2 linked regions of the Rattus norvegicus genome follow. The protein of the gene in region 1 purifies or fractionates together with the protein of each later gene. This does not show direct contact. Links are inferred from orthologs where the notes say so. Each region holds a gene or a part of one and is shown in the gene's direction. Other genes may lie near its edges.

What was found. The genes of interacting proteins can lie anywhere in the genome.
Region 2: the proteins of Tsen2 (region 1) and Clp1 purify together in Homo sapiens (affinity purification with mass spectrometry; 3 studies listed by BioGRID and IntAct, counting the BioPlex papers as one, with this or other methods). This does not show direct contact. The link is inferred for Rattus norvegicus from reciprocal best matches to the Homo sapiens genes TSEN2 and CLP1.

Annotation. Positions count from the first base shown.
Region 1 is NC_086022.1:150,274,668-150,278,398, forward strand, and holds the start of Tsen2 (tRNA-splicing endonuclease subunit Sen2), read left to right. Parts: upstream 1-814; 5' UTR 815-850; exon of another isoform or gene 851-1,361; intron 1,362-3,731.
Region 2 is NC_086021.1:90,214,711-90,218,456, reverse strand, and holds the start of Clp1 (polyribonucleotide 5'-hydroxyl-kinase Clp1), read left to right. Parts: upstream 1-1,291; 5' UTR 1,292-1,374; intron 1,375-2,110; exon of another isoform or gene 2,111-2,153; 5' UTR 2,154-2,175; coding exon 2,176-2,781; exon of another isoform or gene 2,782-2,790; intron 2,791-3,746. UniProt on the Homo sapiens protein: Polynucleotide kinase that can phosphorylate the 5'-hydroxyl groups of double-stranded RNA (dsRNA), single-stranded RNA (ssRNA), double-stranded DNA (dsDNA) and double-stranded DNA:RNA hybrids. dsRNA is phosphorylated more efficiently than dsDNA, and the RNA component of a DNA:RNA hybrid is phosphorylated more efficiently than the DNA component.

The DNA of each region.
Region 1 (3,731 bases):
CACTTGGCAGTCACTAGTCAGCATTTTGATTGTTACTGAGTCACCACTGCCCTCTGCAGAGAAAAGCCTCTCTGGACGTGGTGAAAGCAGCACTAATCTGTATGTGGGTATAACCAAAATATTTGGAAGTAGCTGGATCTCTTCATTTAACAAGACAATAGTAATTGGGTTCTCCTTAAGGTCTTTGACACAGGCTTCTGGTCCTGAGACACAGGCTTCTGGTTAAGTTTACAACACCAAGCATGAATTCCCTCCGACAAACAGACCTCAGATCCACTCACTTAAATGTTGGTTGCCTCTGAACCTTCACACCATTATTACACCAGTGGGTACATCTTCCTTTATAGCATTCAGGGTTCATTACTCTGAATAAAATCTCCTATCACACTGAGGTCAAGGGCAGTCTTTTAGGACAAGTCGCTTCATATCTCATCTCTAAAAAAAATGAACCTTGTGTTGGAACCTCCAGGCAGTGAGCACTTTTAATCCCAGCACTGGAGATGCAAAGGCATCTTGAACTCCGTGAGCTTGTCTGGGCTAGTGAGCTCCAAGCAAACCAAGGCTGTACAGTGAGAACTACATAAAAAAAAAAAAAAAAAAAGTAAAGAGAAAAATGTGGGAATGCTATGAGGATTAAGGCGGGGGAAAGGCCCCTTAGCCTTATTCGTTAGATTTAGCTGGGGGATGGGGCGGAAGGTACTGTCAGAAGTGCTGTGCGCAAGCGTGCTGTGCTAGGACGCAGCCGGTCGTTTTGCGGCTACGCGCAGCTGGTTTTGCGGCCGCGCTGCTTGACGGCTACAGTACCGCCTCCAGGTTGCCGGGTAACCGTGGGCGCGCGTGGCCGGGTAAGGTAAGACTGACGGGAAGTCTGGAGCCGGCCGGTCTCTAGTGTTCTGTGTCCAGCGTGTGAACCGCTTCAGGCGTGAGTGGGGTGGGGGCTGGCTGTCACTCAAGCGTGCTGAGCACAGCTTCCTGATGGCTGCCGAGCATTTCGCTCTCAGTGACAGATGCCATCTGTCCCAGACCCAGGCTGGTCTGCCTTGGCCCTCAGCCCTGAACCTCAGCTCTGGAGCTGTGCAGGGGGAAACACAGATGCAAGTGTGTTTTCAAATGATGAGGAGCCCACGAGGGCTGGGACGGGACTCAGTTGGCAGCGTTTTTCTGTCCCCAGCACTGCGCCAAACCAAGCGTGCGACTGCCCACCTGTAATCCCAACTTCAGGAGGCAGAGGCAACAGTATCAGCTGTTTTTAAAGCTATCCTCAGCTACGTATCAAGTTTGAAGCCAGCTTGGGCTACGTGTGGCCTCATCTCAAACAAACAAACAAACAAACAAACAAACAAAATGATAAGAGAACTCGGGTGAGTTTTGCCATAAGAGAGACTTCTTTGACACCCGATCCCAAGAGTGTTGGGAAATTATACGGATCCACCTTTTCCTGTATGGTTTGTGCTTCGATTGACACTTAGAGGAGTATATAAAAGGGGTTAGGTTGACCATTGTGTGTGACGGTTCATGTCTTTAACCGCAGCACATGGGAGGCTGGGGCAGAAAGATCATAGTGAGTTTAAAGCTAGCCAAAGCTACATAGCAAGATCAAGTGTCAGCAAAACCAAAAATTTTAAATGATTATTAGGCTAGCAGGTTGGGGGAAAAATAAAGGATGGGCCTTGCTTTTGATGGACAGAAATGTGCTTTGTGGTGCTTTGATGTCAAGCATGGCCAGGTTTCTTAACAATCTTTGCAGATACATTCAGCCTGGCCCCCCAAGTCCCTTCTCACTTATACAGTGAGGATAAGAGCAGTGCCTGGGCTGGGACTGTGGCTCCTTTGATAGAGCATTTTCTTTGAATGAGCGGGGCCCTGGGTTCAATCCCCAGCACTGGGAAAAGAAGCAAGTGAAAGCCTATATATTTAGTCCTCCAGACTACTGTTCTGGTCTGCTCTACCCTATACATACATACCTGCATGTATGTATTGCACTATGACAGGTGACAGTTGAGTGCTTGGTTATCTGATCCCCTGCAGCTAGAGTTGTAGGTGGATATAAGCCACCATGTGCATGTTGGGAATTGAACCTGTGTCTTAACTACTAAGCCTCTCTCCATCCCCGTGCATGGGTATCTTTGACACTCACTTGTCAGTTGTTCTAACTTTACTTCCTTGGTCCATGTTTCCCTCTGTCTTTATTGAAGTTCCTAGCTTCGAGAGAAGTTCCATGAAGCTGTCATAACACCGTGGCCAAAGCTTGGTGTTTCAGTTATTACCACTATCATCATCATTATCATCATCCTCTTCCTTCTTCTCCTTCCTTTTTCATCCTCCTCCTTCTTCCTTTTTCTTTTCCTCCTTCCTTCTTCCTCGTCCTCCTCCTCCTTCATTTTGCCAGTATTTGCCTGCCTGTGTGTCTTGTCTATGCTTAATATGCATGCAGTGCCCACAGAGGCCAAAAAGAAGGCGCTGGATCCTTGGGACGGGATCTACAGGTGGATGCGGATGCTGAGAATGGAACCTGAGTCCTCTAAAAGAGCAGGCAGGGCTCCTGCCACATCATTTCTTTTTAATGGTCATGAAATGTTAAAGCCACCCACCTCCTCAGGCTCAACTCTCTATTGCCTAGTGGATGCTGGTTTTAGGGCAAGGGCACCCAGGTCATCAGTCGCATTCTGTCCTTTGTGAGGGGTTATGCGTGTGACCTGAGAGCTCCCTGTAACCTCTCAGTGTAGACCTGACCGTAGACAGCTGCAGGTTCAAATCTCCCACCTGCCTGGTGAAGCATCTGTCATTTAGAATATACACATTTGCAGGGGCCATGGCTCAGTGGTGCTTTGTGCTGGCAGGTAGCGGGCAGCAACTTCGTGTTGCATTCAACTTGCGTGTGTGTGTGTGTGTGTGTGTGTGTGTGTGTGTGTGTGTGTGTGTGTTCTACACTTGTTTTGTCTCTGTAAGACCCAGAATAAAGAGGTCTTCAGCTTCCTTGGACCCTTCTAGGTAATTCTCTGCCTGGTTGGTAGCTGTGTGGCATCTCACTCAGACCTAGACCACCGTGAACAGATGCAAACTGTGCCTGAGTGGGACCCACAAAGAGGACCCTGCACTTAACCCAGCGCTGTCATTCACGGGGCCCTTTACAGGCCTCACTGACCCGAAGGTCACCCTGACTATAAGATGGCATTGCTGGCACTCACCCCGTAACTGATGACATCCAGTGTCATCAGTGTATGTATGGGTGATGCCACTCTGCCAGGTGCAGTCCCAAGCACTCTGGGAACCATGGCTGTGAGAAGCTGGTTTTCTCCCCCTTTATAGATGAACTAAAGCCCAGAAGCTGGGGGACTTTTGCCCAAGGTTTTACAGTTAAAAATGCAGCAGCTTCCTGATTTTGGTTTGTGCACTGCAGAGGCTAACACACAGAGTAGAATACAGCACGGGCAGTCTGGCTTCAGTCCCTGCACACACCCACTGGCATTTGGTGGGACCTAACTGGCCCTTAAATGACAGTGACTCTGCTATGATTCACGGGTTTCCTTTTAAAAGTGGGAGCCAAGCATGGTGACTCAACCTCAAATCTCAGCGCTCGGGAAGTAGAGGCAGGGGGACCAGGAATTCATGGTCATCCTCACCTACATGGTTCAAGATCAGCCTGGACCACACAAAACTTGTCTCAATAAAGCAAGCAAACAAACAGAGAATCCTGAGGACTGACTGCCCGGGGTTTATAATGTTTCTTA
Region 2 (3,746 bases), on another chromosome or scaffold:
TCAGAGCTGGGGACCGAACCCAGGGCCTTGAGCTTGCTAGGCAAGTGCTCTACCACTGAGCTAAATCCCCAACCCCTCTCTCTCCTTTTTTTTTTTCTTCTTTTTTTCGGAGCTGAGGACTGAACCCAGGGCCTTGCGCTTGCTAGGCAAGCGCCCTACCACTGAGCTAAATCCCCAACCCCTCGTTTCTTCTCAAATGAAATTGGAGATACTATACCTACCTGGGTTTGTAGGATATTGTAACATGGACTCCTAAAGCTACTTTGAAAATTGTAAAGCACTGTATAAACAGATAAGATTATTATAGTCTCTCCAGCCTATAATAAAAACTTAAGGCTAACATCAGATACTTTCTATATTATAGGCATTGTGCTTAGCACATATGTCTCATCCAATCTTTAAAACAACTTTAAGAGGTCGAATACTGTTATTATTCCCATTTTATAGACAAGAGATGTCTCAGGGAAAGGAAGCCTGTGATTTATCCAAAGTCAGGCAGTGAACTAATACTAGATTCCAAAGGCCATACTCATGAAAAGTGGATAATAGATGTGGAACCGGTTAGCAGTGGTGTAAATGATCGACTTTGTATAACTGTCAGATGTGCATGGACAGTTTAAACTCTGGCAGAAGTTGTTGGATAATGACTGATTCATAAGATAAAAGAAATCATTGGATTTTTATTCTAATTTACTAAAGAAAAAAACAGCCTGATTCGTGGCTCATGTCTGTAAATCCCAGCATTCAGGACATCAGAGGCAGGAGAATCACAAGGAGTGCCAGGTTGGCTAGCTTCGGGGTGGGGGAGAGTGGTGGAGAGAAGGGGGAGTGGAGAGAATGAATTACACTTAGTTTCTCCTATATGCCAGTTCCGCATAGCCTCAAAGTGGGGACTGCTTGACATGGTATGTGTGTTTCTATTTGACTTAGTGTGTGTCTCTGCTTGTATGTGTTTGTGCCACTTTCCCTCCGCCTGGATCTCCTGCTTAGGCTGCGTTTTGCTAACTTCCCCACTTTTTGGCGTGTGGTCTAGTCGAGCAGAGCTCTTATCTAGACAGTGGTGCCGCTCCCTTTCTGGTTGCCCTTAGCTTTGCTGGACAGCAGATAGGGAGCGACCATGCAACCACCTCCCGCGCGTGGGCGAACCAGCAACGACTCCTTTCCGCCTCCCGCGGTCTTCCCGCACAAAGTGACGGCGCTGCCCCGCCCACCTCCGCGCGTCACAGAACAATCCTTAAACTATAATTCCCAGAGGGCCATGCGGTGGCGCGCGCTCACTCACTCCGAACTACACGTCCCAAAATGCATCACGCGACCGCGTCTCCTACTACCGCGCAAGAGCGGAACCGCCTTTGCTTTCCGGCTAGTATTTAGGTGAGCGTCGTTCATGGTTGGGAAAGTGCTGAGGTCCTGTACCGAGGTTTCTGTAACGCTTATCTAGATCCAGAGGCTCTACAGGTAAGGCTTAAGGACCCCAATTACCTCTGAGAGATTCCGGCAGGTTTTGATGTTGGAGCTAACTGTGATAAATACTGGACTCAGAATTGTGGTTCAGAAATAGTAATTTACATTTCTTTGGTAGTTTCTAGTTTAATATTTTGTTTTTCCAACTGTGGTCCTTGTTATCCCCGGCACTGTACTCTTAACGGTAGGACGTGTAAATGCCCATCGTATAGCAGCTGGGGAGTTGGTTTTGGTATTAAATGGTTGGATTATAGTAACTACTAGTAGCCCCAGAGCTGGACATGCAACTGTTTTCTGATTCTGAACCCAGTGTCCCATTCTTTGCTTACGATTTAGAGGCTTGTTTCTTATTGGCTAAGGGAGTTGGAGGAGAATGGCCATGTGTTACTTTCTTTTCAATAGTGATGGAGGACTATGCAATTCGAATCTCCTGTTAATTACATCTGTAGGTAGTTTTCTTTTTATGTCCTAGTCATTCATTCACTCTGTATTTTGTTGAGGTGCGCTACTCTTCTACTTACTAGAGGCAGAGGAGCAAACAAAAATATCTCTACCTTCTGGATGTGGGGAGACAGGCTGTAAATCGTGAGTCTGGAGGCAATAAGAACTGTGCAGAAAAAGATAAAGGGACTAAACCATTGGAAGATTTTTGAATAGTGATTTGATCTAATATTTAATTTGGGTTCTAGGCACAGCAGCTCAACAGAAAAGATGAGTGAGGAATCCAATGATGACAAGAAGCCAACGACCAAGTTTGAACTAGAGCGAGAAACAGAGCTTCGATTTGAGGTGGAGGCATCTCAGTCAGTTCAGTTGGAGTTGCTGGCTGGCATGGCAGAGATCTTTGGCACAGAACTGACCAGAAACAAGAAATTCACCTTTGATGCTGGTGCCAAGGTGGCTGTTTTCACTTGGCATGGCTGTTCTCTGCAGTTGAGTGGCCGGACCGAGGTGGCTTATGTCTCTAAGGACACCCCTATGTTGCTTTACCTTAACACTCATACAGCCTTGGAGCAGATGCGGAGGCAGGCAGAAAAGGAAGAAGAGAGAGGCCCCCGAGTGATGGTTGTGGGTCCTACTGATGTGGGCAAGTCCACGGTGTGCCGGCTGCTACTCAACTACGCAGTGCGTTTGGGCCGACGTCCTACTTACGTGGAGTTGGATGTAGGGCAGGGCTCTGTGTCCATTCCTGGTACCATGGGGGCCCTGTACATTGAGCGACCCGCAGATGTGGAAGAAGGTTTCTCCATCCAGGCACCTCTTGTGTATCATTTTGGCTCCACCACTCCTGGCACCAACATCAAGCTTTACAACAAGGTCAGGGAGCTAAGAGGGGGTGGAGGGAAAAGTTACAGTCAGGGTATGAAGTAGGGAACTTTGTTACTTAAAACTGCACAATTTTCTCTCTGAATGTAATTGTTCTATTTTTATTTTTTTTGTGTGATAGTCCACTTGATTTCATGAGAGACCATTTTAAAAGTGTGAGCTTTACACTGCTAAGCATTCGATGACACTGCTCAGAGTAATTCATTATTAAGAGGTAAAACGGCAAGCAGGGGGTGTGCAGACATGGGTCAGCAATTGAGTCTAACACACACCTTTCATTTCAGCAGAGACAGAGGCAGGTAGATCTCTTGAGTTTGTGGCCAGCCTGGTCTCCATAGTGAGTTCCAGGACAGAGTGAGACTGTGTTGCAAACAAACAAAACGACAAAACCAAAAACAGTACTACTGTCGGGGGTCAGAGTTTTCCTAGCAAGCGCAAGGCCCTGGATTCGGTCCTCAGCTCCGAAAAAAAAAAAAAGACAAAATAACAGAGTTTATTTCCCAGTATCCATGTCATGGTATTCCCAGTTGCCTGTCACTCCAGCTCTAGGATAAAGTTAACTCCATGTTATGGGGTTAAAACCACAGTCATTAAAACCATCAATTTTGATGTTAATATATCAGTGAGTATTGTAGCTGATCCCTATAGGACTTGGAAGGCTAAGATAGGACTTTCAAGAGTGTGAAGCTAGGCTAGAGTCTTGTACTAAAACCCTGTCTCAGAAAAGTAAAAATACCGGAGAGCAGGGGCTAAGGTTGCAGCTCAATTGCCAAGCATACTTCAAGGCTTGTGTTTGGAATCCCAGCCTGTACAGTTTTTGGATGGTACCTATTACTGGAAAGAGAAACTTAGATGGATTTAGGAGCTAGAGAGATGGCTCAGTGGTTAAGACCATTGGCTCTCCTTCCAGAGGCCCCTAGGTTCAAGTCCCAGCACCCACATGGCAGTTCATGACT